Oryzias latipes: one gene and its partner. The protein of the gene in region 2 purifies or fractionates together with the protein of the main gene of each other region. This does not show direct contact. Links are inferred from orthologs where the notes say so. Each region holds a gene or a part of one and is shown on either strand. Other genes may lie near its edges. The genes, in order: ribosomal protein S6 kinase alpha-3 and fgfr1.

The links.
Region 1: the proteins of fgfr1 (region 2) and ribosomal protein S6 kinase alpha-3 purify together in Homo sapiens (affinity purification with mass spectrometry; 4 studies listed by BioGRID and IntAct, with this or other methods). This does not show direct contact. The link is inferred for Oryzias latipes from reciprocal best matches to the Homo sapiens genes FGFR1 and RPS6KA3.

The regions. Positions count from the first base shown.
Region 1 is NC_019878.2:2,769,041-2,785,387, forward strand, and holds the start of ribosomal protein S6 kinase alpha-3, read right to left. Parts: upstream 8,231-16,347; 5' UTR 8,216-8,230; coding exon 7,991-8,215; intron 2,129-7,990; exon of another isoform or gene 2,103-2,128; coding exon of another isoform or gene 2,004-2,102; intron 1-2,003. UniProt on the Homo sapiens protein: Serine/threonine-protein kinase that acts downstream of ERK (MAPK1/ERK2 and MAPK3/ERK1) signaling and mediates mitogenic and stress-induced activation of the transcription factors CREB1, ETV1/ER81 and NR4A1/NUR77, regulates translation through RPS6 and EIF4B phosphorylation, and mediates cellular proliferation, survival, and differentiation by modulating mTOR signaling and repressing pro-apoptotic function of BAD and DAPK1.
Region 2 is NC_019867.2:20,583,291-20,599,875, forward strand, and holds the end of fgfr1 (fibroblast growth factor receptor 1 precursor), read right to left. Parts: intron 13,718-16,585; coding exon 13,521-13,717; intron 13,236-13,520; coding exon 13,090-13,235; intron 12,876-13,089; coding exon 12,754-12,875; intron 11,973-12,753; coding exon 11,862-11,972; intron 9,711-11,861; coding exon 9,520-9,710; intron 9,424-9,519; coding exon 9,301-9,423; intron 9,201-9,300; coding exon 9,130-9,200; intron 9,029-9,129; coding exon 8,891-9,028; intron 8,103-8,890; coding exon 7,997-8,102; intron 7,922-7,996; coding exon 7,745-7,921; 3' UTR 6,744-7,744; downstream 1-6,743. UniProt on the Homo sapiens protein: Tyrosine-protein kinase that acts as a cell-surface receptor for fibroblast growth factors and plays an essential role in the regulation of embryonic development, cell proliferation, differentiation and migration.

The DNA of each region.
Region 1 (16,347 bases), on a different chromosome or scaffold from region 2:
ATGTCAAAGCTACCTTCAGTGACAGAGTTTAGGACGGTTGTTAAAAACACCAACATATGTGAAAAACATCAGAAGGCTGCCAGAGACGTCTACAGCTTTGGATTGGCAGACGTCTGAGCAAACAGACGCTTATTTAGGACGGCGGGTGTGAAACTGAGCAGAAAAGGCTGAATGTGGTTGGAGAATGAATGAAATCCATCAAGATTCAAAGTGAAACAGATGGGTTTCCTGTTGGAAATCCTGCTGAACGCCTCAGATGAAACGCTTTCACAAACAGTTGTGGAGTTTTTCTTGTGTTGGACAAAACGTAGAACCTGCACAGAACGCAGGTCTTTGGGGTCATGTGATGTGGACTGTTGACAGCGTGAATCCTCGGGGGTCTTGGTGTGGGGACGGCTGGACACTCCACCTCAGCAGAACATAAACACCCACCTGAGCACAGGTGTGGCTCACCTTTACACAATAGCAGTGTGACAAAATGAAATGCTTCACACATGATCCCTGCCGCTAATATTTCTGTTTACAGCAAACACAATCTTTCTTTCTTAAGAGGTGAAGACCTCAGATGCTGTTAGCCCTTGTGCTGTCTTGTGGGGTCTGGAAGACCCAACTCCCGTAAAGGCACGTTAACATTGGGAGTTGGGTCATCTAGACCCACTAGACAGTGCTCTGAACCTTTATTCTTCAATGATTTGTGATCTTCACTGGTGTCCATGGATTACATGAAATCTTTCCACCTTTATCCACCTTTGTCATGGTAGGGAGAACACGTCAATGTAAGGGGGGGTCATCTGGACCCCATAGGATAGCACAAGGGTTAAGCAAAGCTGTGTTGAAGCTCCACTGTCTCTCAAAAGGCAAAGATGGAGGGTTTGGATGAACTATTAAGAACTTTCTTTGTTTTTTTCTGAAACGTCTTCATCTTTGCATCTCCATCCATTTTCTAATGAGCATGCCCCCCCCTCCCACACCTAAGCATCAGTACACTTTTATCTGTTCTATGACTTCCACACCTCCTAATCTGCTGGATTTTTCTCTAAAGTCAGAGTCAGCAAAGAACAAGAAACAGAACATGACCCTGAAACTAACTCTTCCTGAACTGTTCGAACCACCTCCAAGTTTTTTTTTGCTTGTCAGATTCAGACTAAAACTTCATCATTTTATTCTGAAATGACTGCTTTTCTTTGACTTCAGATCAACTCAAATGTCCTTCCTGTTGTTTTACTTTTGTTTTCTCGTCACAGTGCAGTTCAACAAAGGAGTACCAGCTGATTCAAACTGGACCCAGTCCCTGAAGAATCCTGCTATCATCTCATCATTCTGGCATCTTCGGAGCCCATCACCACATCACCTGGATGGAGCTCCTCCGTCAGGAGAGGGAACGTCTGCCTGACACAGGAGGAGCTGAAAACAGCCTAAAGCCTGAGGTGGACGCCACGTTATCCCAGAGTCAGCTGCTGCAGCGAGCACCCGCCCACACACAAAGGGAATTAGCAGCACTGAAATGTGAGCCATTAGAGACGTCAAGAGATCGATGGCAAAGCCTCATTAGACCATGATGCACTGCAGCTACAGAATGACAACACAGGGTGCGGCCTCGGTGCGCTCATCCTCCACAAACAGCACCAGTCTGAACCGGTCCGGCACTGTTTGGTCACAGGAAGTCTACTACTGGGCTTTATTTTGAAGGGATCAGAAACCCTGAGTCCAAAGGATGATGGACGCCCGGTTACTCCGTGACTCACCAACAGGTTGAGCCAGCTTTCCGAGTGTTCGTCAGCGCTCTGCGGGAAACTACCACTCACACAGAGATGGCCATGCGGTTGTCCTGGAAGCACCCACAGCACCTGCCCCCCGCCCCCTGCGCTGAATGACCCAAGTCCACACACGGCGTCCAACCTGCAGCAGCGCCCCCCCTCCAGCTCCTGCTCCAGCATCTCCTGCCCTCAGCCATCCCAGCACGTCAAAAGGTCAACAAGTCCACACCCGTCTCCCACAAATACCTGATGATCCCAGGCCACGCACTCGTTCTCTGCCAGGTCTCCCAGTGCATTGTGGGTCCTGTAGTCCCGGCGGCGTCTAAAGCTGCGTGGCGTTATCATGTTCCCGGGAACAGACAGCAGGGAGAAGGAGCGGCTTCTGCTCGTCCCTGACAGAACACGTCTCTCTCCCAGAGAGAGATGTCCTCCTCCCTCCTCCCTCGTTACCTCCTACTTTCTCGCTTTTTCTATCTTTGTTTGAACTGTTCTCACCTCTCCTTTCTGGCTCGCACCTCCCTCTTCCCTGGCTGCTCATGGGAACCGGAGTCGGGGGGGGGGGGTTCTGCAGAACATCTCTCGCCTGCGACATTATTGGGGTCAGAGCCTGCAGGACCTTTTTCAAACACCGTCCACCTTCAGCTCCGCCTCCTGCCTCCTGCCTGATCAGGCGGGAGGCGGGAGGCGGCTGTTTGCTGCGCTGATTCAAAAAGCACAGAACTTTCTAGTAGCCGTCGTCCACAGCAGCTCGTGGTTTTCACACGGAGCTGGTGAAATCCCGTCAAACACCAACCAGGAGAGCTGCACAAAAAGAGGTCAACCACTTCATCACATGTGTCAACCTAATGACACAACAAGCTGAAGGAAAGTTAGCAAACATCCTCTTGACAGCTTACAGGAAGAGGAAGAGGAAGAGGAGACTCATCTAAAGACTCAAAGTTCCCTCTAAAGAGCTGTTCAGTGAAGCTTCCAGATAAACGGATGCTGGGTCTGGATAAAGATGTGAAGTTCAGTCCATCAAGCGTTAATAAACAGAAAAAGACGACCGTCTCTGCACAATAAAGCAAACACCTCAGCCCGTCAGCACAGCACGTCATCCCCTCTGCTGTCGCCGTGTTCAGGACAATGCGGAACGTTTGGGAGTGTTGACACATCGGATCATGCCGTCTGTGACTCAGAACACAGATGGAGGATCGGAGCTGAGGCGACAGGCCGCTCGCAGCACCTCTGATTCACTGGACTGAGAGGGAAAGCTCGCCAACAGGTAGAGCTCCACGCCGGCCTGCACGCATCTTCCTCATGAAGGCTCTTCAACAGCATCCAGCTTCTTCCTCTGAAGACTATTTCAATCCATCCGCCTCCCGCGCTCAAGACAATTAGCTCCCTGACTGCACAGCTGAGCAGGACGCTGAACACCAACACCTGCAGCGGTTCATCATTCACTGCATAATTCTAGGTTTGATCCCCAACATGAAGACTTGGCTCCTCAGAGACTCTTCAGCTGATTACAGGTTCCTGAGAAATGACTCAGAAAAACTTCAACATCAACAACAGATATGACAAAATAAGGACGATTTGATAGACTGTAACAAAATGTACCAACTGTGTGGACACAGAAAAACCTGTAAGAGTGTTTTTTTACTGAACCGAGAACAGCTGAACCTCTTTCACTGCTTTTTAAGTTGAAGTTTTGACACTGGGCAGTCAGGGAGTCAGGAGGACTCACTTCCAAAATATGCCTTCATTTAGTTTGGTTTCATGCTGCACACTTTCACAGGAGAAGAACAACATTCACTAAATTCCACTGCTATAGCTGTTGCCAAAAACATGCTTTGACAAGAGTTCTAGATAAGAATCGGCTCCTTTGGTTCTCATGCAGCACCTCCTCGGTGCAGAAGCAGGGTTCCCACCTGTGTGATGACTATAAACACCGTCACCTCACTGATCCAATCACTTCAAATGATTAAAACGACAGCGTAAGGTCAGCCACAGATGCTCTACAATACGTAGAAAACACTGTAAAGTCCACAGGACTTTCTCTTTTCTATGGATCACAAACTATCCCTTCATCGGTTGGTGGATGTAAACCGATGATAAAATGATATACTTCCACCTACTGGGAGAAAAGTAAAACAGTGGCATCTGCACTCTGGGTCTAATGGTTAAGCTACGCTCACTCCCCCCTCTGCAACGCACGTTCCAGGGAAACTTCGGATGAACAGATATGGAAACACGTGCAAATGCGCGTTTTGGGCGCTCAAAAGTCGTGCGTCTTTACTCAACTCTTTATGGCTTTTTTTGGGCTTTACCAATCAAATGTGCATCTATTGAGCCCACGCTGAAAGTTGTGGAACTTTGACGTTCCCGTTCCCATTCAGTTCACGGAAGCGTTTCAAATGTGATCATGGAGGAGAAATGAATAACTGCAGTTTGTGTCCGGCACCACCTCTTTGGTCTATGGGAATGAATGGAGCTGTGAATGGAGCGAGATTCTCCAGATTTACTTGGTGGACACGAGTTAATAGAAAGAAGAAGAAGCAGCCCCTCTTTATGAAGACTTGATATGAATCCATTTTTGAACAAAATTATTCAAACGGAATGCATTGTGGTCTATATTTGCCGATCTACTGGGCATCGATGCTCACTGGCTGTTTGCAGAGACTTCTGGGAAATTTCTAAGGCTCATGGTTTAGCCATACAAAGAAGCGAATGAGTAGTGAAGGAATTAAGACACTTTTTCTCAAACTAAGAAAAAACCCTTGTTTGTTTTTGTAAGACTAAAGATGAGACCATTTTTCTTCAAACCAGAGTCTGTTTACTTTCTCAGGAGAGAGTTTTTGTAGTCTATGGACTACATAAGGGTTGGACAGAGAGTATTGTGATCAGGAGAAAGACCAGGTCCTAGCTTTGTTGGTCCCGGTCAGAGGTTCAGGTCTCACAGGGGGACGGCTCTAGTGCTGCATGTTTTTTATTTGTATGAAATGATGAATACTCTGTTGGAAGTTCAACAGTAATCAGAGCGTCCTCCTGCTTCCACGTGGGAAGCCTTTTTAAAAACCAAATCACGCAGGAGCCGCCAAACAAAAACAACTAAAACTCTTCCTCCTCATTCCGAACGGCTTATCTGATCTCACCACACTCAAAGAATTCCAAATGTGCCGTGAAAATGTAGACATGCTGCTTTATTTTTAACTCACTGACATCAAAATCAGGGAGAGAAAGCCATTATTAGAGACCAAACGGGAACTCCTCCCTTTAAATTCAGGGAGCTGTGTTGATGTTGTTCTGGCGCCACAACAGTTTGTGTTGCTGCTCCCACTCATTCAAAGGACTACGGAAGAAATAGCTCAACATGTAGTGTACGTGTGGTTCCACACAGGGAGAATAAGTGGTGTTGATGCTGAGATTCTGAAGGACTTGAGTTTGAACTCGGGTCATAGTGACAGCCTTTGGTATTTGGATTTACTGATGTGTCATAGTCATCAACATCAGAGCGTCTCCTCATGTTGATGGCTAATAACGAAGGTGGAGTGTTGCCCTCAGTACACTGAGCCTCTGGTTGGGTCTAAATTCCTTCACTACTCACTACTTAGTTCACTATACAGAGTGCTCACCATTTTCTACTGCTGTCTGAATCTACAATTCCAAAATCCAGTGCCTGGAAATTTCCCAGAAGTCTCTGCGAAAAACCAGTGTGCATAGATGCTCACTAGATTGGCGAATATAGACCATAATGCATTGCATTGAAACAATAGTTGTGAGAAAAAAACATGTATTTCTGTGTGTTTCTTTGTCTAAACTATGCAGGTTTTGTCATCAGAACACAGTTGATTCATAAAAAGTCTTTGTGTAATGTTCATGTTTGTTCAATTTTCAGTAGTTCTGGAGTCGGCGGGAAATTCAGACGTATTTTCTGTCTTATAGTCACTTTATCAGAAAAGGGTATTTGTGCATGTTTTCCTTTTTCCTCCGTTTGCTGCACCTTCTTTGTCCTTCTGTCACAGTAGGTTTCAGTGAGTTTTTGAAGCATTTCAATGCTTCCTGCTCCTGAACTGGTCCCATGAAGCGATGCAGGTTTTCATCACCGTGTTGGGACGGGCAGAAGTGGACATCAGCGGGTTAGAGCGCTCCTGCAAACCTCCTCAGATCGAGTTAGAGCCTCCCAGAGAGCGGTGTAATGCAGTTATGAGCAGCAGACGCTTGACACAAACCCTGCTTCCCCCCCCTCAGGTCCGAGCCTGCAGGGAGGGGGCCTTCAGGACCACTTCTGCCAGTCTGTGCATCCAGAACTCATAGCGCTTATGGAGACGAGGGATCCAGAGAAGGACGTTACACAACAACCGCTGCAGAGCTCACCCTTTCACCTGTGCCAGGCTGTTTTCCTCTGAAAGCTGTCAGTTTTTTTCTTACTGGTCTTTAGGTTTTTTTTCTCACTCTTTAAAAAGTAAAAGCGAAAACCTTCAAATCCTGCAGAGATCCTACAAACTCGCAGCTGCAAGTATCATTCCAGTTCAGACGACGTTTAGCTTCTTCACATGCAGTCCAGCATGGTTTTGATAATGTTCACACTTTGGATAAGAACAACTCCAGACTAAAGCAGCTTCATCATTCCTGACCTTCAGCATCGTCACTCATCCGCTCAGCCTTCACATTTATGCTCACGCTGGAAAAACTTCCTGCACTCTGTGTTTATTTAGAGTCCTACAGTTAAACGTTAAAATGTCACAGAAATGATGGATGCTTTTGGAAATACATACATCTAATAAAACAGCTGGAGGACACAGAACCTCCACGAAAAAACCTTCCTCAGCATTTTATAATTAACATCAAATAAAAGGAATACAACATAAACATTCTGACTTCTCTCCATTTGAAAGTTTTTTTTTTTGCTTTGATCTCATCTTAAAGTCTTCTTGTGAACTTAAAACTTTTTTTTAATGCATAAAAAGTCCAAACAGAGAGAAAGCAACAAAATAAAAGAATCCCTTTTGGAGCCAAAAAGGTCGGGTGATAACTTTCATCCGGACCAAACAGGAGAACCGTGGTCCTCTTCAGAATGAGGATCTCTGTTGACTTGCAGGTGAACTCTGGTGTGCATGCCCACAGCATGGATCTGAAGGAGCAGGAAGCATGTCTGCCGGGTCAACATGGAGTGGACGAGCAGCTTTTCTGCTCCAGTCCTGGTCGGAGCTCGTTTCAGGCAATAGTGCCTCAGACGGTCAGTCTTTGGTTCTCAGGAGAGAACGCCCAAACCAACCTGTTCTCATTTATCTTCTGCCCCTGGGACAGTCCCACCAACAAGATGGCCCTGCAGAGGGTGACCAGGACGGCCGAGAAGGTCATCGGTTGCCCTCTGCCCCCCCTGGAGCACATCTCCAGCTCACGCCGCCTCAGGGGAGCCAAGAAAAGTCCTGACCGACTGATCTCACCCTGGTCATCACTTATTCAGACTGTTGCCATCATAGACCATAGATCCCACACAGCCGTGAAAACAGTTGCTGTCCAAGAACCATCAGGCTCCTAAACACACCACACCCCACACCTTTGTGTCTCCAGATGCACATTAAGACGACGGCTGCCAGTAAAGCATTCTATTCTATTCTATTCCATCCCCAGATGCAGAGGACATGAAGAAGTACGACCGTTTCTGAAAATGAAGCCATAGGAGAGAGTAACCCGCATCGGTTTGAAGTGACAGATGCAGCAAACATCCTGCAGGAAACGCTAAAAATCCGGTTTCAACCACATGTTCACCTGAGTTCATCACCAACTCACGAGGCCTCAGGATGTTTTCGTGCTTCCACCTTCATCTTACGCAACAACAGCTGCTGGGAAGCGGAGACGATGACCTTATTATTGTTGAGAGTGACAGCTGATCCGTGAAAAAGCTGGAGCTGGAGTCCTCCGACACTCCGGGAGGACTTGGAACGGGTCTGACTGCAGCCGTCCAAACTGTTATCTTTACGTGGAACAAAGGTCTGACGGCGGCACACGCCAGTGCAGGAGAGGATAAGCGCGCCGTGACCTGATGCCAATCACACACGTGCACGGCGGCGAGCCCTGTGACTGTCACTCACGAGCAGACTAAACCTCGGCGACACGCTCATCTGTCTGAAGGGCAGCGTGAACCACAGCCCGGCTGACAGCTGAACCTCTGCCGCTGTGAGCTGTCAGAGGCGGGGGGGGGACCCTCAAACATGCAGGGGGCTGGGGGGGTCCCAGTGAGTACTCACAGCCGCACAGGGGGGGTCTGCTGCATGACGGCTCAGGAAGGAGCCCACAGGCTTCCAGCTCTCCAGCCCAGGATTGTGGAAGGGCTCTCCTCTGAAGCTCCGGGTCGGGCGAGGACGGCGGCGGGTGAGCAACAGCCGCCGCAGCGACTTGAGTCTGCTCCTCAGGCCTCTGATGAGGCCGCCGATGGCGCACACGCACGGCGCCGCGGCCGCAAAGTGTGTCATGGTGGCATGAAGTGAGGCGCTGGGGGTCTGAGCAGAGAGAGGGAATACCCGGAGAACAGGCTGGGAAAGGAAGGGAGGGGGGGTAATTCCAAACCGGGATGGGAAGTGGGACCCCCCCCCTCCCTCTTGAACGCGTGAACATGCAGCTGTGACCTTCTGCTTTCCAGATGAACCTGGAGATCCCCACAAGGACACCAGGAGAGAAAAACCGCTTCAGGAAAGCACCGATCGGCCGGCCGGCTGGTTGGCGTGCCCCCCCCCTGTCCGTCAGCTGGAGGCGGGAAAACCCTCTTCTGCACCGTAAATCTGAACGTCCTCAGCTGCTTCAACCGCTCAGACGTGTTAACGTTCAGCCCCTTCCTGCTTCTACTACCGATGCTCTTTATGAACAAACAGGAAAAGCTTTTCAAATCTTTCAGCTTCTTTTTAAATGTTGAAACGTTTGGTGGATGATTTACTTTAAGTTCATAAAAACCTGGACGTCAAGATGCTAAAATGTTCAAATGCGTTCAGTTAAACCCATTTATTTAAGAATAAATAGTTTGAATTGAAGAGCCGATGCTGATCGTAATTATAAAACCATCAACAACATGAGAAAACCAAAAACCACACAGATGAACTTCAGGAAAGACCAGCCTCCTCTGAAGTCTGAGTAACTTTGGTTAATCCTGTAAATCTACCATTTCAAACAAGTGCAAATAAAGTAAACCATCAGTTTAAACATATTGATGATATTTATACTAGATAGATCCTTTTTAAAGTAAAAAACAACATTAACATAACAATCAATACATTTCAGTCCTAAAGATTCAGAAAGAAGATGATTGATGATTGAATCACTTATTGGTTCTTGACGGGATCTGTTGGATCTCACTGGTTTAGGATCCAGAACCCAGACTGAGTCTCCGCTGCACACGGAGGATCTGATCTTCTGATGCTGGACCTTCCAGATTCTTCTGAGCTGCAGATCACCCTTGACTCCGTCCATCAGTCCTCGGTGGGATCGACTGACGGACGGCTGAAGGCTGTGGCGCAGCGTCTTTCTCTGACGTGACCGTGGTGGTCTCCAAACCCCCTCCTGATGTTGCACCTGAACATCCCATAGATGTGGGGCCATAAAGACCTCATTCAGCAGAGAAGCTGCACATGCTCCTTCCTTTGGTTTCTCCAATTTTTCCAGCTGTGAGTTTCACTCAAAGCCATGTCATTCCTGTATTACAGGGAAGTGGGAACTTCCTGTAAAACACTTCCTGTTAGAACCCCAGGATCTTAAATTGACCCAGAATGCAGCAGCCTGGAGGTGAACAGACGGGACCACGTCATCCCACAGAGGTTTGGTTTCTCCTTTGAAGGGCTGTTTTTAAGGTAGCGTTGATGCTAGTGCTCTTTGTCTTTGTGAACATTTTCACGCCGCTGACCAACAGCAGCGTAGAAGTTTGTGTTCTAGTAGGCTGCCTCTTCTGCTCCATTCCCATCTTCATGGAAGGCTCTGATGAAAGACAAAAACGCTCTTTCTCGCATCGTTTTCAGAGGAACGGTGTTCACCCGGAGCAAAAAGTCGTGAAATCTTCTAGAAAATCTGCCTCTTTGACGCAGACATATGTACACAAACGCTGACGCACAAACCAAACGACCCACTGAACGCCGCTGCGGCGCGGCAGGACGCCCTCCAGCACAGACCCAATCCCCCAGCTGTCCCGGCCCACTGCTCCCGCTTACACAATGTACACAATGCTGGGGGGGGGGGCAGTTGACAGGATGTGTGACGCATCTTGGATTACCTCCACCTGTTGTCACCTCCTCGCTCTGCTTTCCACCAACGCCAGAGCTAAGACGGACGGGGCTGAAGGACGCAGCGGCACAGCTGAAAGGGTTTGATCCCCAAATGATCACGGACAACTTTGACATCCTCACAAATGACACACAAACCGACCAATCTGTCTGCTGTGCTCAAAGCAACAGAACTTTGTGTCTTTTCTCATTCTGGATCATTCTGCTTCTATTTTCTAATTGTTCAGAGAGATTTTTGGTGCGTTTGTGAGTAAAAAAAAGGGGGAATTTAACTGTGGCCAACAAGGTGAGACAGAGATGAGAGCGTGTCCAGCTCCCTTTATCAACCCTGACAACAGAAATAAATGCAACTGTGTCTCCAGTGATACCAGCAGACACACCGCTGCTGTGTGCGTCCTCCCAACACGCCATGTCTGATGGGTCTTCCAGCCTCCTGACTCACAGCGGGTAAGAGCATCAACTAAACGCCTCAGATTTAACGTCTGTGTGTGTGTGAGGGGGGGTGTTTGTGTGTGTGTGTGTGTGTGGGGGGGGGGGGGTTTCCATGGTTTGAGTGAACAGGATTCCATTCCAGACAATCTGCACCCTCTAAGCCCGTTACGCAATCAAATTAACGTGCCGGCTGGCCACCATACACGTACACACACATACACACACATGCGCACACACAGGGACCAGGAGGATTTGTCAGGTTGGACAGAAGAAGTGCGTTTCCGCCGCCCATCCCCGGGGCTCAGATACCAAACAGGAGAAGGCGGAGATGTGTCCTTCAGGCGTCCTAACTCAACGTTAGGTCCAACCACTGAAGCTCTGCACTAAAGTCCTAACTATGACTGTCCGGCTGGTTTGGGGGGGGGCGGGTTCTGGACAGCGGTCAGAGTCTGTGTGCAGGACAGAATCTGCAGAAAGTCCTGCTGCACTGACAGGAAATCCAGCCTCAGGCAGCAGAAAGGAGGGGATCATTCAGATGTGACACAAAGGATTTTAAATCTTCCAGACTGCAAGAAGATTTTAAACGCTGGCAGAAAGGAAGCTGAGCCTCATTTTTCTACTGAATGAAGTTGTTTTTCTTACTCCTGCAGTAAATTGTGAAGTAAAGAAACGTTGTCATACGGCAATGTTCAGGTTTGTCCGGCACTGTCACTCTTTTAGAGTAAAAGAAAACTGGAGTATAGCCATCAATCATTGATCAGTCTTCATGTGAAAAGTGATTCAAGGCTGAAAATGATCCACTTCCATCATAAATCTGTCTCATTCTTGACATCCACTCCCATTATTTTGAGCTAAGGTCATGGATTTGTTTCCCTCTTCAGAAAAGGCAGGAAGGACTCCTTCAAATGCAGCACAGTCTGAGTGATGCAACAAGAAAGTGTACGTTTGTGAAAAAAAGGAGGGAAGGAGATGTGGGAGGCGGATATGATCCAAACTTCATGGTTCAGAGAAAGCGAGGAGCATTAAGAATAGATGAGGAGGAGCGGAGGGAGGACGTCATCATTAATTCAGGAGCTGGCAGGATGAAATCCTGGATCACAGCTCTGCATGCAGACACAACCTCAGCTTTTCATTCGGCTTTCAGTGATCCGACAGGATTCAGGAGAGGAGAGCAGCACAGGCGGGGACATGTGAAGCTCTCCTGTCCCTGGACCTAAAGGTGAAACCTGCACAGGTAAAAAAAAAAAAAACCTCAGAGCTGCTCCTCCCACCAAATTGACTCTAGAAAAGGCATGCTGGCCTAATTTGGTTCTGAGCCTCCAGAGCCCTCAGGTCCTCAGGTGATGGCTCCGCTAAACGTCCCTGAGGTGAAACCTGAACCCCGCAGTGAGCCTCCTCCCACCTCCCTGAGGACGTTAGCTCAGCCTCATGGAATATGAACACAAATAAATGGGGGAGCTGCGTTTCTAGTCCAGCTTTTCAACAAACCTTTGGTTTTGGTCCGAGCCGCTCCCTAAAGTGAGGAGCGTGGAGCGGAAAGATGTGCCTAAAATAACCAACAACACTCAAACAGACATACATTTAGGATTAAAAGCTTCAAAATCAAATGGAAAAGTTCAAGGAAACAAATAAAAGTCAATGTCTGTATTTAGATGGAAAAACTAGAAAATGATTTGTAATTTCAACAAAGTTTTGTAAAAATGTGACATACTAAAGGAAAAACATGAATGCTAATTTAATGTCTAAATGTTTAGATGAATGAAAACTAAAGGACAGAGAATGATGCCACTGAAAAATGATTGACAGCTAAACTTTAACCCTTTTCTGACAGACACAAAGGGAAATAAACAAGTTCTTGCTTAAAAATCCTGACTTTCTTTCCCCCTATTCTTATATTTACAAATCTTTAGCCCCATAATAGATTTAGAGGCTGACTGACGTTGACGACAAACTTCCTGGTGGTAAAGTTTCCATGGGCGGCAGGTCGCCGCGGTAACGGCCGTCACTGCATGAAGAGGGTTTCCACTGCATGAACTAATGAGCCCATTTGACCCGACCTCAGCACAACCCTGTGCTGCCATCCCACGGGACAACAGGAAACGCGACACAAGTCTGATGGAAACTAGGAATCCTGTTACTGGACATCCCTGCACAGATGATTAAAAATACAGAATTGTGTTTTGTCTGGTTCCAGCTGCTGGTCGTCAGAGGAATCGGTGAACGCTGCCTCGTCAGGGTCAGGAGGTCAGCTCACTTTCTCTGCATGTTGGATCGGTCAGTTTTTCTTGAGTGTTTATTAGATAAACAGTCACGTGATCACAACAGTGCTCCCCCTAACGGGGTTTAATTGGTTAACTAGTCATATTTAATAATAAAAAGCAAACTGTCAACTAAGTCAGACTATAACATAATAAAAAATCCTACTAAAAATATAACCATCTAAAACAAAATGAACCCTTCTAATAGCCTTGAATCTTGCTTCTATAACTAATCTATACTTTTTACCCTAATAAACAACTAAAAGATAAAAAATACTTTAAAAGCTAAGTTAGCCAAAGGAATGCTATAGACAATCACAAATTTATTTAACTAAACCTGTTTAACTAGAATTAACTATAATAAGAGTCATGAAAGAGTCAACAGAAAGGGGGAAAGCACAAAAGAACATGAGAAAAGAAAAATAAGCAGTGAAAGTGCCTAAAATGGCATCAAACACCGTTAAATTCTATTAAACACTGTATGTTGGGTTAAATGAGAAACGTTTAAGATAATAAAAAAAGGATTACTTTCTGCTAAAATAGATTTTCTGTCAATTAAAAGACAAATATGGAACAAAAGTAATAGAGATTTGTTAGACAGGGGGGGGAGCAACTTTGAGACGGGACGTCCCGTCACCATGCCAACCCCGTTCCTGTGGCGATCTGTCCAAAACACACATCTCCGTGGGATGTTTTGGACAGTCGGCCCACTGTTCCTGTCCCTCTCACTCTTTCCCTCATCTTCCTCCTCTCACATCCCCCCCCTCTCGTTCACCCTGGACCCCATTAGAGGACATCAAAGGTCTGCGGCCTGACATCACTGCAAGGGGGGGGCCTCAAAGCTGGAGCAGGAAGCCCAGCCTGGGACGGTCCTGCTGACCTGGACAAGGAGCGCTCAGGACGGAGCGCATGAAGCTGAGAGATGCTGCACAAAGGTCACAAAGGTCACAGCCGCCATCCCAGCTTACAAGTTCCTGAAAAGTTCACATTCAGAGCAGCGGGGCCTAAAATTAGACCCATTCACACAGTCACACACATTCATACACACAGTCACACACACATTCATACACACAGTCAGACAACGGGTGGCGGCTCCGCTGCCGAACACAGGCATCCGCCTACCACCAGGAATGAACAACAATGCTCACAGTGACCCAGAAATGCATTGTGGTGGGCGTCTCCCAGCAGTTTCCTGCCTTGTGATCCGTCACGGGAAAAGCCACACAGTCCTACCTCCATACACCCACCTACCCACCCACCCATCCACCCATTCATCCATCCATCCACCCACCCAACCATCCATCCACCCATTCATCCATCCATCCACCCATCCATCCACCCATCGCTCTCCACCTTTTCCATCAAAAGTCATCTCCAAGGTCAGAGGCCTGGAGTCCACAGTCGCCGTCTGTCAGACTGAATCTTCGTTCTGCTGGCAGCATCTAGAGAGCAGCAGGTCCTCCCAGAGCTCCAGCCTCTCTGCATGTTTTTCCGACTAAACCAGCCTCCATCACGACTCCTTTGTGCTCGTTAGGAAAGCTTTTCTGTTCTGCTGCCGTCCAGTAAGAGGATCAGAGACTTAGCGCCTCGCATAAGCTCCTGCTGAATCCAAACTTCCAAACATTTGCTGCATTTCCCATAACAGCTGATTTCTAAAAACAGGAGCATGCTGTCAGAGTGTGCAGGTTCAGACTGTGAAAACACGACTGTGTGATCCTGTTGCCAAAGCAGAGCTGGGTGTCTGCTCACGGAGAGCAGCTGTCGGTGTGCGAGTGCGTGTTACCTGGTACCGCCGGTTCCTCACGTAAAATAAAAGCGTCTTCATGGCGCTCCTCTTCTGACACGGCCACTCTGGGAATGACTCACTGAGGAGCGCGTTGCAGCACTCTGCTCTGGGACGCAGGAAGGCCGTCCAGCTGTTCGGCGGGGAGATTAGAGCATGTCCTGTCATTGTCTCCCTGGCAACAACATCTGCACAGGAAGGCAAGCATCTGCCCTCCCAGCAACCCCGACCAAACTCCACCCGAACATCCAACAAGCTGCACCCAGCTGAAGCTCAGGCCTGCAGCTCCGCTCGTTTGTTTGTTGAGCCAGCGGAGATGATTCCCACATTTTCTGTGGACCTCAAACACCTCACTTTTGATTGCTGGTCCAGACCGAGCAGAAAACCTGACTGACAGCTGCAGACACAAACGTGACCCCACATCAACCCCCCACACACCATGGCAGGAACCATGGAGGCGTCTTATCATGAGGACTTGAAATAAACTGCATCCATGTTGGATTCATGTTAGCGTCGTGTTTACGGGGACATTTGTCATCAGGTGCAGCAGAAAGGTTCTAGTTTCTCCAGTCCAGATCAAATCTTTTACATTTTAACGGGTAACTGCTTCTAGTTTTGTGTTTTTTCTGCTGATTTTTCCCTCCAGCTGACTTCAGTTTGGATCATGATCTGAGCTTTAGTCCGTTTTAGTCTAGCCGTGTTTCCGATCATTGATCTCGTCCCGTGTTTCCTCCGTGTTGCATGTCAGATCTCACACATCGGGGGGGAAGCCCTGTGTCTCTGCAGATGTTCACCACTCCTGCCCTTCCACCCGTCACTCTGTGGGGGACTCGGGTGTTTCTTTACATCTATTTAGGAGTCAAACAGGCTCTCCCAAAAGCTCCTGAAACCAAAATGAAGTAGCATGTTAATGCAACTGTTCACCAGAGAGAGGGGGAACTGAAAACCAAGTTTCATCACAATACTGTCAAAAGCAGACGTGCTGCTGGTTGAAGTCGTGATAATCTCATCTCTGGTGTGAAAACTCAACCGCAGTAGCTGTTTTTAAAGATGTTGATGTGGTTTTCAAACACCGGGGAACACGCAAGAGGAAACCCAAACACAAAGAGGGGAGGAAAAGGAGGAGAAAACCGGCGTGTGCGGCACTCAAGAGGAAGATGAGGAGGAGGAGGATGGAGCCAGCTCTGGAGCCAGTGTGTGTCAGTCAGACATGCGACAGAACCGTCACTTCTTCCCGACATTTGGGCAGAATCTCATAAAAAAACAAAGCATGACAATACATTTGTCGACTACACAATTAACACCTTTCAAAAAAAACTGCAACACTACAAACCTCAAACTGAAGAAATCCTTTCATTTTCTAGCATCCGTTTTAAGTCTAGAAAAGCGTTTGCTCCTCTCTGAACGACCGGGATTTTCGGTGCAGAGTGGATCAGAGCGTCTTCCAACGGCAAAACAGGATGCGGGTTTTTTATATATAATCAGTCCAAGAACTCATCAGTCTGCAATCAGGGGGAGATATCTTTGGTTCCGCTAAGTGTGAAAGCAAAGCCAAAGGGAAACAAAGCGTCTGATCAGCCCCTGGCCTCTGCAGTCGGGTCAACAAAGAGTTTATCACAATCCTGCTCCTCCTTCACCACCACAGATCCGCCGATCCGTGAAAACGATTTTGCTGAATGTGTTTCCTTCCGTTTAGTAGTCCTAGACTGTGGGTGGAAACCCCGTGATTGTCTGCAGCAGAAGCAGAGGGAGCCCTCTTCATCCACCAACCACACCTTCACACTACTGACACTCATCCGACCTGCAGTAGCCCCTTCTTGCCCTGTGGGGTAACAGTCTGGGGCTGAAGGAGCTGGTCAGCCCCTCTG
Region 2 (16,585 bases):
ATTTTTTTTAAAGCACTAGAGAGGTGGTAGCAGTTTGTCTGCTCACAGAGCAGTCAACAGAGTCAAACGCCATCAAAAACATGGACGAATGATTGTGAGGCAGTGAGTCTACAGCAACAATTTTTAGGAGCACACTTGATCCTGCTGTCAATTGGCCAAGTCTGACGTCAGAGCTGGTGGTGAGTCAGGGGCAGCTAACGCACTCACGCGGGACCATCAATTCAATCAAGTTTTACTCACAACTCTCTTTTCCCTGCGCGCCTTTATCTCTTTAACAAAGCAGGAAAATCCGTTTTTCTTTCACAGTCATTTTTATTTTCATTTTGATTTAAATGGTTACAGAAATAGCCTGACATTAAGAGACTTTTTGGATGTCAGTACATCAGAAGATTAAAAAACTGTTATCCCAAACTGCTCTTATTCCTAGCCTCAATTGCCAAAGTGTGTTTCATTCAGGAGGAGACATGTCCGCCAATCCCATCCCAAGCTCAATTCAATTAAGGAGAGTACAAAGACATATGGCTTAGAGGGAAATGATATGATTAGAATCATCTGTGAGTAGATGTTGCTGCTTGGATTCAAAGTGTCTCTTAGATGAGCACACTGGCTGGGAACAGGAAGGCACCTTTAGTTGAGACACTGATTCCTGGGGGTTTGGGGGGCATAAACAGCTTTTTAGGCAACATTGCTGTTGTGAAAACACAAAGCTAAAGAAATCCAACATCTTCTAACTCCACAACATCTTCCGGTAAAGTAGTCACGGTAGTGTCTTCATTTCCGCAAACACAATGCAGAGGAGCAACTGTACCCCAGCTACCCCTCCACCATCAATCTGAGCTGTCATAAAAGACAAACGATACGCCTGTTGGGACGGGATGAGCCACAGGAATGTGTGTGCAGGTATCCTGCTGCCTTTGGAGACACTGGAGAAAGACTCTGCACACCAGTTGATCCTGTTTGATAAAGGCCCTGACATCCCCAGATTATATGTCTCAGCCTGGAGGAGGTGTTTGTGTCTCATTCCTGTGCTGAAGAAAGTCGATCTGGTGGGAAAAAGGCGGGGTCATGCCTGCAGGCGTCTGTTTTTGTGTGGACGCCAACACAAGCCTTGTCAGGTAGACAGCATTTCCACAAACCCGCACCACCTCCCCCAGCTAGTTTAACACTGAGCAAACACCCTGGACTATCTCGTTTATCCAACCACACCCACACTTCCCGGTGCCATAAATTATCTTTCCACAGATGAATTGAGGTTTGTGAAAACATATACCTCCAACACACAGAGGAACCCTCAACCCTCCACTGCACTTCTGTACAATCCCAACAAAAGAAAACATGACCAAGAGTCCACAAAACCCCAATTTATACATATTTGAACTGCTGCATTTTTTATATTGTTATCAAAATAAAATTTGATCGATAACTTTCATTTTATGAATGGCATTTATTAATTTTTAACCTAGAATCCATGGTAGGATCGAAATTGTCATCTATTTAAAGGGCCTAGACCATGCAAAATCAGCTCTTAAATGTATCATAATATTCATTCCTCATGAATAGAAACCCCAAAGTGGTATTTTGATCCGGTCACGCATTTCTGAGTATTCCTCTAAAAAACCTTCTCTCTGAGCCCCAGCCCCTTCCAACACCCGAAAACGAGCGATTTCTCACGAGTGTACATAGATCAGTGAGAACAGCCCCTTCCAGGAAGAGTCTGTGCTGCCAGCACCACCCCCAGACTAACATACACACCCATTTTCTCTGCAGAGCTAGAGGTAATCGGCTAAAATGCTTTCTTTGTTAAATGCACAATATGGACATCCATCTTTGCAAAAGTTCGGATGTCGTTTGTTTTTGTGGGCGAGATGCAGACACAGCCAAGGTCTTCTCTAGTACCTTAGAGATCGAGTCGTCTTACTTTCGGGTTTGAAAAAGCTCAGGAAAATAACTGATATTTAATAAAAAATGTGTTATTTTGTGTGCCAAAGGTAATAAATCATTATATACATGGATAAGGGTTACTATAAAAGGCTTGAGAATAGCATGATATTGTCCCTTTAAAAGATCTTTGAACCATGACACTTCAACCACCATAAGTCATAGATGAAAAAAGGTTTTTTTCATTTCACTAAATCTTCCAGCATGTCTTTAAACCTTTAACAGCCCAACCAAGAAAAATATCAATGAAAACTTTTTTTTCCGTTTGCTGATTGACTTTGGTGATTAACACTCACAGTCAATATTTTAAAAAATTTGATTTTCAAAGTTTATTCTACCATTTGGTTGAGCAGGTAGCTAAAGGGTTCAAATGTGTGTGGAATTTGCAGTGAAACACAGAGGCGTTTTGTGATAGTTTCACACATGGTTCATTTGAGCCGATCCAGATGTTTTTTATTTAACAGTTTGAAATTCACACCACTGACCTAATTTACTTCTTTTGTCCACTAGATAGTTTGTGTACACACACAAATAGGAAGTGCCCACTGGCTCCAAGAAGCCAAAATCTCATAGAATTCTATTGAGAAATAAATAGCTATTATCCAAGTCATTCTATTTGTCATGCAATGTCATGCAACTGGCCAATCAGATGCCTCGATAAAAGTATGTTGTCTTAAACATTTGAAACATATGCTTGACAGATTCTTCCAAGCCCGCTTTCAAGTGGTAAGGATGTGGCTTTCCAATAAACTCAATCCAGATTGGTTGTCATAGAAATGTTAACTCAGACCTACTTGGACCAATCACTGCTAACTGATATCTGGCTCCAATATGGCGGTGTACATATTGTTAAAAAAAATGGTGACTGAATTGACTTTATTTTGTTGGTTCTGGAAGGGTGACGTCTTTCTCACTTAGTCCAGTAAATGCGTAAAAAACACCAGGGTTCATTTGCATGTAATCTAAGATCCTTTTTGTCTGGCAGTCCAGAACTCGCATACGTTTTCAAACTTGTGTACCAAACAGCACAGTGTGAAAGTATAAATCCACACACAACATTTCTGTTAGTTCTTCTTCTAATGGGAGCATTAATATAGACAGAAGTTTTTTTGTTTGTTATCTGGGTGTCATTCTCACAGTAAATGCTCATGTTTTCAGAAGTATTCCTTTGTCTTGTTTTTTTTTTGTTTTGTTTTTTAGAAATTTCTACATTTGAACTAATTATTTGAATTTAATTGGAAGTCTTTAAAAGACAGCTTGTACATGTTGTGATCACTTCAGGCTGTTAACATTTCTTGTTTCTTTCATACGTATTTCTGTTCTTGGTGAAATAGAGAAAATGGAAAAGGGAGGCAGGGAGTGAGTGACAGGGCGTGCCCCAGGCTCGCCCCTCCTGTCATGCCTGTCCCATAGAGCAGTGAAGGCACCAAGGAGCTGTCATGCAGGCAGTTCTCTCATAAACAGGAGCCCGGGCCCTCCGTGGAGACATCAATAACCAAAGAGCAGAGATAAAACAGAACTCCAACTGTCTCCTGCTGACAATTTTTCTTTATGGGGCCAACAAAGGTTTAGCTCTAAGACCGCAACATTCCTAAACCAATATAGTCCAATCTTCGACAGAATTAGAAGTTTAGTGCTACAGTAAAACAACAAACAACAACCAAAACCACATAATGTAAACCCAAACAGCTTTTCATTACTCAACTATAGTTATAAAGGGTGGGGAATCTATTGGAGCGAGCAGACAAAAGAAAATTAGAATTCCTCCTCTGTTCTCAAATCAACAATCTGGGTCCACTTCATCTTGGCCTGTCTGCAGCGGCTTCCCACAAAATGAATGCTTGAACTGTCTGAGCTTCCTTTTATGTACTTGGCACACCAGTAACAAGAGGCGAATGTCTCCTTCACCTTGCAGATGGACGCTGGCCAGAAGGATATTCATGAGTTTAATAGTGCGCCGACAACACCTTTCAGCATTTTTGTGCGCATTGAAAGACCCCCTGCTCCAACTTCTCCTCCTTTCTTCCCATAAATTTCATGTTTATTTGTTGGGAGACACACAAACACATGCTGATGTCACAGCGCCTCCACAGTGAGTGCCGTCACCAACATTGCTGTCATCCTCCCAGGACCGTCTCTGCAATCTGCATGGAGCTATGAAAGGATTCCTGATAGGTGCTCCAGAGTTGAAGGGCAGGTCACCTGTCAAAACTGACAGGACACGGTGGAGATTCATTGAGAGAGAACTGTGCTTTTATCCAGACCTGCATATGATAATCCCTCACTGAAATAAATCAAACTATCTCTGGTAAACAAAAACACAAAGCAATTCATCTAACAGGCCTCCAAGGAAAAACACACAAAACCTCCTCTGGGATGGCTTTTAGAAAAGTTATGCAGATTAATCTTTTTATTTTGCTTGGTACTTCCATTATTCAAGATGGCTTCCAATTATGGCAGCCTTCTACCTTCTGGGGCACGATAATTGTTAACCAATACATACGTGTACATTCTTTCTGCACAGCACATTTTCAGCCCAAGATCAAGATCATTTGTATGACAAATGGTTCTTGAGATTTCACATTTTTAAAAAAGAGTCACAAATAGCAAAATCTTAACAATATCCAAGCTTACAGAGATACAAAAGTTGAATATAAACACTTTGGGTATATGTTAATACAAATCACATTTAGAGGTCAATAATGAAAATCCTCAACAAAGTTATAAAGCACAAAGCACACAAGTGACATGTTAAATATTACATAATAACCTCAATGCAATCCATGCATCAATAGATTGAAGTGATCGAGAAGACCCCAGCTAGCCCTCTGCCTGGTGGCATGCACCACCACAATAACACAAAGAAGTGCAGCTCAAATTTGCACAAGCCTCTACAAGCCTTCTTGGAACCACAGTGCACTAGCTCTTATATACTGACATACTGTGGAAGCTTCAGGGAGAGTGGTCCACTTTGGGATGAAACCATTCCTGGTTTCAGTCCATCTATTGGACTTGGTAGATTTTGCACTGAATGCAGCTTCTTCATGATCAGTTTGGGTCAATGCCCGCAGCAGCCATGTCACTTGGCCTGTTGTATCCAACATTCACATCAGAAGTTGAAACAAACAAAACACCTTCCACCTCCAAACAAGCAACTCCTCAGCCAAGAAACTGGAATAACTCTACCTTGTTTTCACGTCTGCCAGTGTTGAGAAGCACCCTTCTTCGGATACCTGGGCCTCGAGACGCTCTTTATTACTGCCCTATTGAGGCAGCATTCAAGAAATCTGTCCCACACTACATCAACCCATTCACATCTGTAGCCTGATTAATGATGTAAGGCAAGAAAACTCCCTTAGAAAACTCTTGGAAAGTCTTTGCTTTGCCAGACGCAAGCATATTCACAACAGACTTGTGCAATAAGGCTTCCTCAGACACCAGAGTGTCTGCAATCCCTTGCCCATCATCCAAAAGTTTCAGGTTAATGTTTACAGGAACTTCACCAGCATTAGAAAATGTTGTAATGTTTTCAGCAAAAGTGACATCTGAGCCATGTGATGCTCTGGTGCTTTAAATGTAAACATTTGAAAACAAGGAAGTTCCCCATCTTACAATCTCTTCAATACTGTTTAGTTTTCGTTTTCGAAGTTTGGCTTAGCAAAGGTCATCTAATCCCAACCACAGCATTGTCCGCTTTACTTGACAACATACAAATCATAAGCAAAAACTTGTAAACGAATATCTTATTTTATGGTTCCTTTTCTTTTGGAATAAAAAGAACGTTTGATTGTTATAAAAAAAAATCAAACATTGAGTACCAGGTTTATTGAAGTGTAATGTTTCTGAAGCTGCAGCTAAACTGATAAAATAACAAAAATTCTAGTGATAGCAGGAATTTGTTAGTTGCACACTGGATTACTTTATGGAATTTAAAAACACATAGATGGCACACTCCTCGTCTTTCAGAAATGGATTCTGTGAACATTTGTGGTCTTAACGCCACAGAGCATTTTTCTCTTTGCACAGGCTAACGGTTTATACTCTCAAAAGCGCAGACAATAAACTTTGTTCCGTCAAACTCTTCATGTGCCATCTGTCAGAAATGATAAAAGTCAAACTAATAGCACCTGTGCACCATTAGCAGGTTTTAAAGTGTGGCTTCGCATGCCCTTTCTATTCTTGAACAATCAAAACACACAGACGATGCTTTATTGCACCTCGTTTCCAAGGGTGAATGATATTTTCTCCCAAAATTACCAATTCCTGCTCCATCTAAAGATCTCCAATCTGACTGGGACTGATAAAGAAATCCACGTTACATATTTTGATTTACAGTTTAAAATGATGTTGATATAAATCTGTCGTCCATTAGAAACTAAAGTTTTTATTGCAACACAGGTGACTGCTTTGAAAGCAGCAGGACGATAAGAGAAGGTTCTCATTTAAAGGGTCAGGAGTGACTTAAGCTGATTTTCGCCTGTTGCGTGGAAACGGCAATCCAGGTGATATATCCACAAGTGGCAGTAAGCCAGAATGGGGACTGGCATCAAGGTTGGTGGAGCTGATGGACGAGTGTCGTAGCAGCAATTGCCAAGCTGTTCATACGGTCATAAATTACATGTTTACAGCCGGTAGAGGCTTGGCGCACTCGCCAACTTCTCTTCTGAGGTGAGCAGCATATTATCATATCCAATCAGATTCCTGCAACTGTATTAAGAGGTTTAAGTGGCCATTTCTATAAACCTACCTCCAATACAGGCATGGAAATGTTTGTATTTATAGAGTTCAAATTCAGAAAGCTTAAGTTGCTTGATCATCAGTATTTTATTGAATGTAATCCTTTTTACAATGACATACGTGCGCTGCAACTCTTCATCTGAAGTCACACGGCAGCAAACGTTTACTCCCCTCAAAACATTTACAGTGGAAGTTTAGTCCTATGAAGGTCACACAGATGGCGGTATTAACTGAAGCATATTACAGCTCGTATTACCTGCAGTATTTACAGTAGAGACCATCAGGGAAGATACCACCAGTTCTCTGGAAGCCTGCACTCACGGGCATACAAACAGCGCCACACTTTCAAAAATTGGTCCTGCATGAAATGCTATGCCGTAATTTCAGGTTTGTTAAAGTTGGAAAAAATATGTATACATATATATAAAATCCATTATACATTATTAATGATAATATGATTCATTTTGGAGAGTCACAGCTGCAATACGGACAAAAAATACTGGCCATATCAACCACAGCAACTTCAGAATACCCTCGTGTAACAACCACCCCTAAAAATTATATTAGAAAAAGGGTGAAACCATGGCATCCTTGTACAAAACACAAAAAAATCATTATGTTAATACAAAATAAGAGTATTGGAAATATATAGTAATATTTATATATATATTTTAAACTGTATTTACACTAAGAAAGATGTGCATAAACATGGTGCTGCACATCTGCTGGGAGTGTGTTGGGATTGGACCAAATCTCATCAGGTGGTGAAAACAATCATATGCATACACACAAACATTACAAAAACGGACGTGATTTGGTCAGCTCTCATGACCAAACACTGGAATGATCGAGGTATAGAGAAAAGTGAATCTACTCCTGCTAATACAAAGTGCCCCGTAAACATAGTCCACATCTGCAGTCTGCGACTTGAGTTCCACACAGTATCGCAAAGTTCCTCTCTCACAGAGCACCAGTGTTCTTTCGCTTCATCTCTAGGAGCGTGGGGAGAAATTCAACCCCATGAGGCAGGGAGTAGGGGGAACGTCAATGTTTGAAGGAAGATGAGGTATCAGCGTTTTTTGATTGCTGCCCCATTGGAGTGAGGAGGGAACTTTGGCAGGCAGGGCTCCTCTGCTCCAGCATCGTGAGAGAACACAGAGTCTTCACCAGAGGAGCACGTGGAGCTCCGGGTGTCAGGATAGCTGGGAGAATATTGGTCCAAAGGAACAGAGAGCTCTAAATACTCCTGCAAGTACACAGGGGGGGGGGTCAGAAACATTTGATTTCAGACAGCACTTACAGACTCTAGAGGGGGACTGACCTGGTTGGATGTCATAGCTAGACAACGATCCAGGTCCTCCACCAGCTGTTTGAAGGTGGGCCTTTGAGAGGGAACTGCATGCCAGCAGTCCCTCATCATCATGTACCTGCAGAAAAAGATTTTTTTCATGAAAGGTAAAAACTCGACTTTTAAAAACAAAATCATTTGGTTATTTCCAAAACTCAAAAATTAAGAGCAGCACATTTTAAGACAGTAATGTTAAATATTGTTAACCAAGTCTAAGATTTGTGACTAGGTTTTTAACATTACTTACATTTTTTAACACACTAATGATCCTGAAAACTGAACCAACAGGCAAAATCTGCTAAAAAGCAGTGATGAAAATGACAATTTATGATTTGGCAAAAACAGAGATCGGTAAAGGATTTCTGTAATTTGCTGGGTCAGCAGACAGAGGGTTACAGACTCAAACAGACTGAATAAACTAATCTGCAAGGCCGGGGACGTGGCGGGAGTGAAGTTGGACTCCTGAACGGCAGTGATGGAGCAAAAAATGCTTTAAAAACTGCAAAGCATTGTGGATAACTCCACCCATCCCCTCCACCAGCTCCTGGACCAATACAGGAGCACAAGGACAGCTAGACTAAAAGGTTTCTCAACAAGGATCAAACGCCACAGAATGACTTTCCTTCTTGTGATAATAAAATTGTATAACTTTCATGAAAGCCTGCTAACTTCATAAAACCACCTGACAGCATTATACATTTCATTTTACACACTGCTAATGTGTATTACACTGCATTTGTCTTTTCTTAGTTTGTGCATGTTGAAATTTGGTGATCGGAGCTCTGCTAAAAATGCTTCTTCCCTCTGGGATAAATAAAGTATTCTGTTTTATAAACTCTGAGTTCAGAAAATACAAAGGCTCCTTACAGTTCATGAGTGCACGTTGAAGGCTTGTCCATGCGGTGACCTTCCTTCAGCAGCTTGAACAGCTCCTCTACTGGCACACCCGGGTATGGAGAGCCTCCGAGGGTGAAGATCTCCCAAAGCAGCACTCCAAATGACCATCTGAACAAATAATGAAGAGGAGTAGCACCATGAGCGGCCGAAGAGATCGATTTTTCCTTGTTATATAACAGTTTTAAAGGGTAGTGGAACATGATACTCACACATCACTTTGATGCGTGTATATTCGATCAAATAGTGCCTCAGGCGCCATCCACTTGACTGGTAAACGACCCTAAAAACAAAAAGAAACGTGTTGTTAAATACATTTCCATGTTCCTTTTGTAAGTCCCTTTTTAGTTTAATTCATGTTATTGATCAGATCAATTACTCACATTGGTAGTTTTCTTGTAATAATCAATGTGGTGGATGTCCCTGGCGAGGCCAAAGTCAGCTATTTTCATCACATTGTCTTCAGTTACCAAAACATTGCGAGCAGCAAGATCTCTGTGAATGCACTGGAGGAAAAAAAGGTCTGAACGAACGTCCCATTTTAAATGGACTTGATTTGAGTGCTTTGCACAGCTGCAAAATAGTGGTCGTGGTGTTTTTACCTTTTTAGAGGCCAAGTACTCCATGCCTCGAGCCACTTGGTAAGCACAAGACACCAGGTCTTTGATGGACATGGTCTCCACTGAAACCTGGTCTGGGTTGTAGCAGTACTCCATACCAGGGGGGCGGCGAGCACGCAGGTATTCCCTCAAATTTCCCTTGGATGCATATTCCACTATCACGTATAGAGGACCTGGAAAAACATGAAAGAAATGAAAACCTTAAACAATGACCCAGATCTGAACCACTTTTTTTTTTTTTTTACTTGTCCTGTTTAGCAGCAGAGCAAGCAAATAAAACCATACGGCCTCCTGCGTTGGACAGATTTTACTGTTATAATAAGGGTTTTTGTATCTTCTGACACACAAAGTGTGTATTTGTATAAACCCCTTTTGTAATTTGAGGCTAAGCTTTACTTATAATAATTATTTTGATATGCATTCCTTGTTGAGCTGGATGGAAAAAAAAAAAGGGAAGAGTGGGTTGTTAAAGATGGGGCATAGGGGTTTAAGATGGGGGAGATGGGGAGTGTCAATAATACAGACATAACAAAGAGTGTCATAAGTAAACTGTCCGACTTAGTTCTTACATAACCACCCTTACGCGCACTAGAACTCCACCACAAAAAAGGAGCAGGAGGACAGTACTCAGCAGCCCCGTGGCAGAGAAGTAGGAGGAAAAGAGAGCGCACAGAGCCCCTGCCAGGGTAGAGATCCTGCCCCACCTCAAGGTGCTACAGACCTAGACCCAATCCTCCGACCACACAAGACCTATGCCGATGCCCAGATGAGAGACATGCCATCGCCCAGACGTCCTGAGGGGGCCCCTGCACCCAGAGGCAGGCCATGACCACCAATACCCAGCCTGCACTGCACACCCAAGCAGCTTGCCTGCCAGCCCCACCGTGGACAAACTGGGGGAAGTGGCAAAAACTGCCCGCCCAACGAGGAAGGTGGACACCGTTGGCCAGCAAAGGCTCCAGATAGGGCCAGGATCAGGCTCCAGTTGCTGTGAGCAGTGATGGAAAAATTGCGTTGCCCCGGTGTGCCCAGAAAAGGAGCTTTACCCATCTTCTCTGGGATATGGTCCACCCAACTCAGATATTGTGGACTCACTCGCCTCGCGGAAAAAGTGCTGCAAGGTTAGGGGCGCAGGAACCCCACGGACGCCCTGGCAGCAGCCGCCAGCCAGCCTAACCATTTTGGAGGGCGGTAGACAAGGAACAACGTGACCATCTCCCTCTGACAGTGTGCATGTGTACGAAAGGGTTGCAATTAATATCGGTGGACCAGCACTGTACAGACTCGGTTCTTCAACAGAGGTATCTGAACTTCATGTAACAGGGTGAACCGTGTTCTTATTTCACAAGCCGTTGCCCGAGAAGAGCTATACTGAGCAGTGGAAGATGAGCAGTTGGAGGAAAAGCCACCAGACAACCAAATGCTAGGAGCGACTGGTCGGAGGAGTGCTCCAGGACAAGCAAGCGCTGGACTGACATTAGAGGAACACTCATCGTTGGGTAAAGCGCCGCCGGGACAGATCAGAGAGGGGCGCCTTGGAAGTCAGGATAGACGAGCCCTGGCCGGCACCAGAGGAGCAGCTGAGTCAGGAGCCAGACAGCGGTCAGAGGGGACAGCGACATTGGAACACAGAGGGGTGTGGTTGTGACCTGCCCCTCTTTGAGCCAAGTACCCCTCTGTTTTTTTTATCTTGCTATTAGTTAACCCAGGACGGATTTTATTTTGTTGCCAGAGCTGCTTTGTTTTAAATTGCATGTGTGTTTATTATTTTACTAGTTGTGTGTTTTGTAGAGGGTTTCACAGAGCCTGGTGTTTTAGTGTCATGAACTCCTGAGGTATTTCTGTTTTTTTGACAAAGGCTCCTGGCTCCAACAAACTGACAGAGCAAAGACGCCAACATCACTCAACGCAATAAACTCTCTTTTTGTTCCATTTTTGAACTGTGGTCCCGAGTGTCTCGTCTCCACACACGTCTAAGAATTCTGCGTTGCTGCATTCACATTGTTCACACCATCAAAGCTCTGCAAAGCAAACCCAACATGCTAAACAATAGCAGCTCTTTTAAAGAACTTTTAACAGAAGGAAAAGCAGCAGAAGAAACCCTCTGTTGGATCATTGAAGATTGGTTTTCTTAATCAGAGTGAAAGCATGAGCATCTGATTTGAGTGTCAAGAGTCAAGACTGGAGTTGAAATCATTTGTTCATGATGTCCAGCACATCTTTTTAGGTCATTTTCACATTCCTGTCTCAGGGACAGATCTGCACATGATGGTCTAATCAGAGCAGAAAAGGTCAGAAGCAGGACCTCCTCCATCTGGTCTTACCATCCTGTGTGCAGGCTCCCAGCAGGTTGATGATGTTCTTGTGTTTCCCAATGATCTTCATCATCTCCATCTCAGAAATCAGGTCTGAAAGGTCTTTTTCTGTGGCGTCAGCTGTAAGAGAAGACAATAAGTCACTACAGGCTGATTGATCTACATCCAGTCAGTTACAAAGCTATGTACACACCGTGCATTTGCCGCATGTTCAAGAACCCATGGTGTTAACACTGGACAAGCATGGAGTTTTTTTTTTGTTTTTTTTACTGTTTACTAGCGCATCCCAAGCCTCTTCCAACCTACAGTTGGAACAGGCTTGGTGTGCAATGTCAAGCGGTGATTCTCTTGAATCTTGGTCCAGCTTTTTCTTCCACAGCTCTACTCCAATAAGACTTGGTGACATGGGGCGGCCATGGTGCAATGGTAGGGTGGTCGGTTGGAAGATTGCAAGTTTGATTCCTGCCTTGTCCGCCCCATATGTCGAAGTTTACGGTTTTTACGGTTGTAAAAACTAACGTAGCTACGCATGAACGTGAGGGTTTTGAACACGGAAGCCAGAAAAACGCATTTAAATAGAATTTTCATTGGAAGTGGGTGCTTGAATGAATGCTGCCTAGGGTGTTGTAAACATAGATTAAAGATTCACAAATATGAATCAATAGGCATGTCGCATGTGTTCTAAGAAAGATTTAGAACCTTTTCATGAGATGTTGGACTCAGTTCTCTTGTTAAAATGATGGCTGGAATCCAACAAAAAAAAAGTTTTTTCTAAAATCTGTGCATCCCAGGTTGACGTTTTGCTGCCATTAACTCTAAAGCCTAACCCATTTTGGGACAATGAAAGAAATTTTTCTACAAGTCCAACTTTCTTGTTCTTCATTTGAAGAAAGTAACTTACACTTTAACATTTTCACTGCAACATTCGTCACGCGGTTTGGCTTTTCTTTGTCCAGACCCAGCACCTCCCCCATCATCACCTGACCAAAGCATCCTTCACCCAGTGGCTTTCCAAGAACGAGTCTGTGAGGAGAGAATTATGGATGTGTTCATCTTAAAAAATACATTTTAGTTCAAAACAAAACAGATTTATTTGTAATCTAAAGCTTGTGTTAGATTTTTCTCAGTCTCTACGCAACTCCTTTATTTTTAATTGAGATTACAGGTGGGAAAAATGCAGTCCCAGGAGACCTCTGCTGTTCAGGTATACTCTCAAGGTTTTTTCTGAAAAACATACTTGTCCCTTGGGACCTCCCAGCGTGGATCCTGGGGCAGTTCGTATTCAGACACTCCTGACAGCATAGGAGAGGCACTGGAGGAGAGGCGGGAGGGACGAACCAGCATTACTCCAGAATGGTTGGAGGAGCTCGAGTCCACTGACACCTGATGTAAGAAACAGTTACATTAATCTTCTCATACTGGAACAGAGGTCGTGTTAAAGCACTGCAGTTTGGGAGTTTCAGAGCAGCTTAAATACTTACTTGCTACACATGAGCATCAGCAACTACAATACACCTGCAAGTTCTGAATGCTTTTATTTACAAACGTCCACAAAAGCAGAATTGGAAATGTGCAAACAAAGCAAAAATACTAAAAGCTATGAGTTTCAAAAAATCTGAATAAACAACAAGAGGGGAAAAGAGTTTTCCAAACCCCCTATCTACTTTCTGTTACCTGTCTGCGCAGAGGGATGCTTTTAGCCAGCTTGTGAACTGCCAGCTGACTGTTGAAGTCACTCTTCTTCGATGTGGAGCGAATTTTGATGATGACGGCAATGGCAACCATGACAGCGATGAAAAAGAAGCCAGCACAGTAAATGCCTACTTCCAGGTAGGTATGACTGGTGGGGGGGTATTGAGTGACAGCTACAGGAGGGACAGGACAAGGGCGGAGTCAGCTAGGATAGATTAATTAACATCATAGACTCTCACATGCAAAAACACAAAGCATACTTGAAGCCTAAACCTCCTAAAAAGTGTTGGGTCAGTTTTAGAAAAATTTTTTCAATCAGGATGGAGACGATGGTTTGAACAACTATAAACATTTGGGACTTTAGTCCAAAAAAACGTATACTCAAAATTTTACGACTATCCATGTTTCTTTTTCTTGTTTTATTAATCCAAGCTAAGATTTAGGTTCAGAGTAAAGCAAAACTTTCAGAATTTGCCCCATTATATGAGAAATACCTTAAAAATCCCAAACAGACATGGTTTTCGAGATACATTAGGAAATGTTTAAAGCTTTTTTAAAGAAAGCATATAAGCTATTTTTATTATTTTTTATATCCTCAATCAGGCTTGTGACATGAACATGTCAAAAATAATGTCTTTCCAAACCCATTTCTTCAAGTGGGTGTGCTCTAAAGCACAGAAGTTTAAATATTAAATTTAAATATTAAGTATTTTATTAATCAATGTGACACTTAAATTAGTTTTTTTTGGATGCCTTTTCAAAGTTATAGGACATGAAAAAAAGTAACACGCAATGTTAATTTTAGGATTAATGACAGATTCATAAATTAGAGACAATTGTAAATATATTTAATATTTTTTTTCTACAATTGATAGAATAATTGACAATGCAATCAAAAAGCCCCCAAATCTCAAACTGCCCCATTGATGACACCGGAACTATAAATATTTAATGTGTTAAAAATAACAACTTCCTTTAAAACCTCATAAATACATTTTTTCTCTACGCATTTTCTTAAAACCCATTAAGATTCCCTGCAAGTCCAATTTCAGATTAAATTAACTCATCCCTTAGACACAATATAGTTCCAAAAACATGGAAAACTGCTGGAGTTACACCAATACATAAAGCGGGCGACAGAACAAAACCAAAAAATTAAAAAAATCAACAAGTATCTTACCAAGTATTTCAAAAGTAGTTGAAAAATGGGTAACAACATATCTTATTTCACATCTAAACAACGGGTCAACGCCTTTCCACCCAATGCAGTTTGGTTTTAGGAAGCATCCACTGATACTGCCACAAGTTAATTTCTTCAATCTTATTTGACTACTAAAGGTATCATATTATATTTGCAGTCAATGGTTTTTAGTCATTTAACCTATCGTCTCTCTACTTGGTCCCAAAGAAATGCAACTATTTTAAAGCCACTTTAATCCATCTTTAAAAATGGGTTGAAAAACACTTGATGTGCAGATTTACAGTATCACTATTGCTTCATTCTCAATAAATATAATGTGCGTTTTTTTTTTAATTATCTGTTGTTTTCTAGGGTCTAATTTTTAAGGGCTTGCTCTGCCACCTTTAAGGAATTCTATTCATAAGAAAAATAATCTAGGGATTCACACCAGACCTTTAACCTGCGGAGACTGGGAAGAGCAAAGATGCAGGACCAAATTTGGCGAATTTGGTGTCCGTCAGAGGCACCAAATTTTGGAATATACGTCCAGTTCCCATCAGAAAGAGTGAAAACTATGCAAGGTTCAAAACAGCTTGAAACATTGGTTAAAACAAACTAGACTTGTACTCGGACTCAAAACCATCCCTGCGGTCCATTAAACTATGGAGGTTTTTTTTGTTTTGTTTTTCTGCTCATGTCTACTTTGTGCTGTAGTATTCTGTATAAACTACCCGTAATTTCCGGACTACAGAGCGCACCCGATTACAAGCCGCACCCACTCATTTTCACGTGTTTAACTTCTTTTGTTCATACACAAGCCGCATCAGAGTACGCAACATGGTCAGCCTGACAAATCACATCCTGACTCCCAAACTGAGCGCAATTCATTAGCACACTGTGGGAGGAGACAGCTTTGCCTCAGGCTCATGTATTTGAAAACACTAACACCTGCCAAACAGCATGCACCTCTATTCTGTTCACAAGTTCCTCAGTTATGGTTTTTATATTTTAATTTTTTTTATTTTTTTTTCCTTATTGACAATCTAGGTATCATACATAAAATTACAAACAGTAACCATATAATCAACATTACATCCCTCAGTTATGATGAGGAAATTTACATCCGCGATCCCCCATTTCCCATGAGTCTTAGGGGCTAAAGGCGGGGTCAACGCCCGGCCTCGCCACACTGTTGTACGTGTTTAAGAATGAGCAAGGAACAGCAGTGGATGGAGGGGCGAACGGAAGAACAGCTCTCCTTCCGCTTGTGTCGCGGCAGCGTTATGGGAGTAACAGGGCTGGTTAAAAAACACACCAGTAAATTAAAGCAGCGCCGACTGAAAAGCGCGCCTCAGCGCGATACGCGCGCCGCGGCGCGTGCGTCAGAAGTTTCCTTCCACAACAAACACTGTTGCTCCGCGGACGCCTCTGCGCCCCGCGCTCGCCCTGCGCGCTCCTTGTCTCCCCTTCCTATCCTCTCCGACACCGCTTGCCAGAGCGGCTCCAAGGAGGAGCGCTTTGTCCCCATTGCGCCGGTGGACCGAGCGAATCGTGTCTGTGCAGAGCAATCGGACTTGATACTGTACGTTTTGTGGATGAGGGGCGGATGCGTTGTTACGTGTGGGAGCCATCAGACTGCCATCGGCCCCGCAGCTCTATGTGAACGAGCAGCAGGGAGAACATGTCTCCAGCTCACACGGAGGCTGTGAGCTTTTCAAAGCAAAATTCCGCTCAGTCCTTAGAAACAGTTAAAATGACCACGTCAATTTGTGTTTCCAGTCGTGTCCCGACAAAATAAAGGCTGATGTTATTCCCACATATTTACGTGCAGCCCAGCTGCAGATTGCAGCTTTTCCGTCAG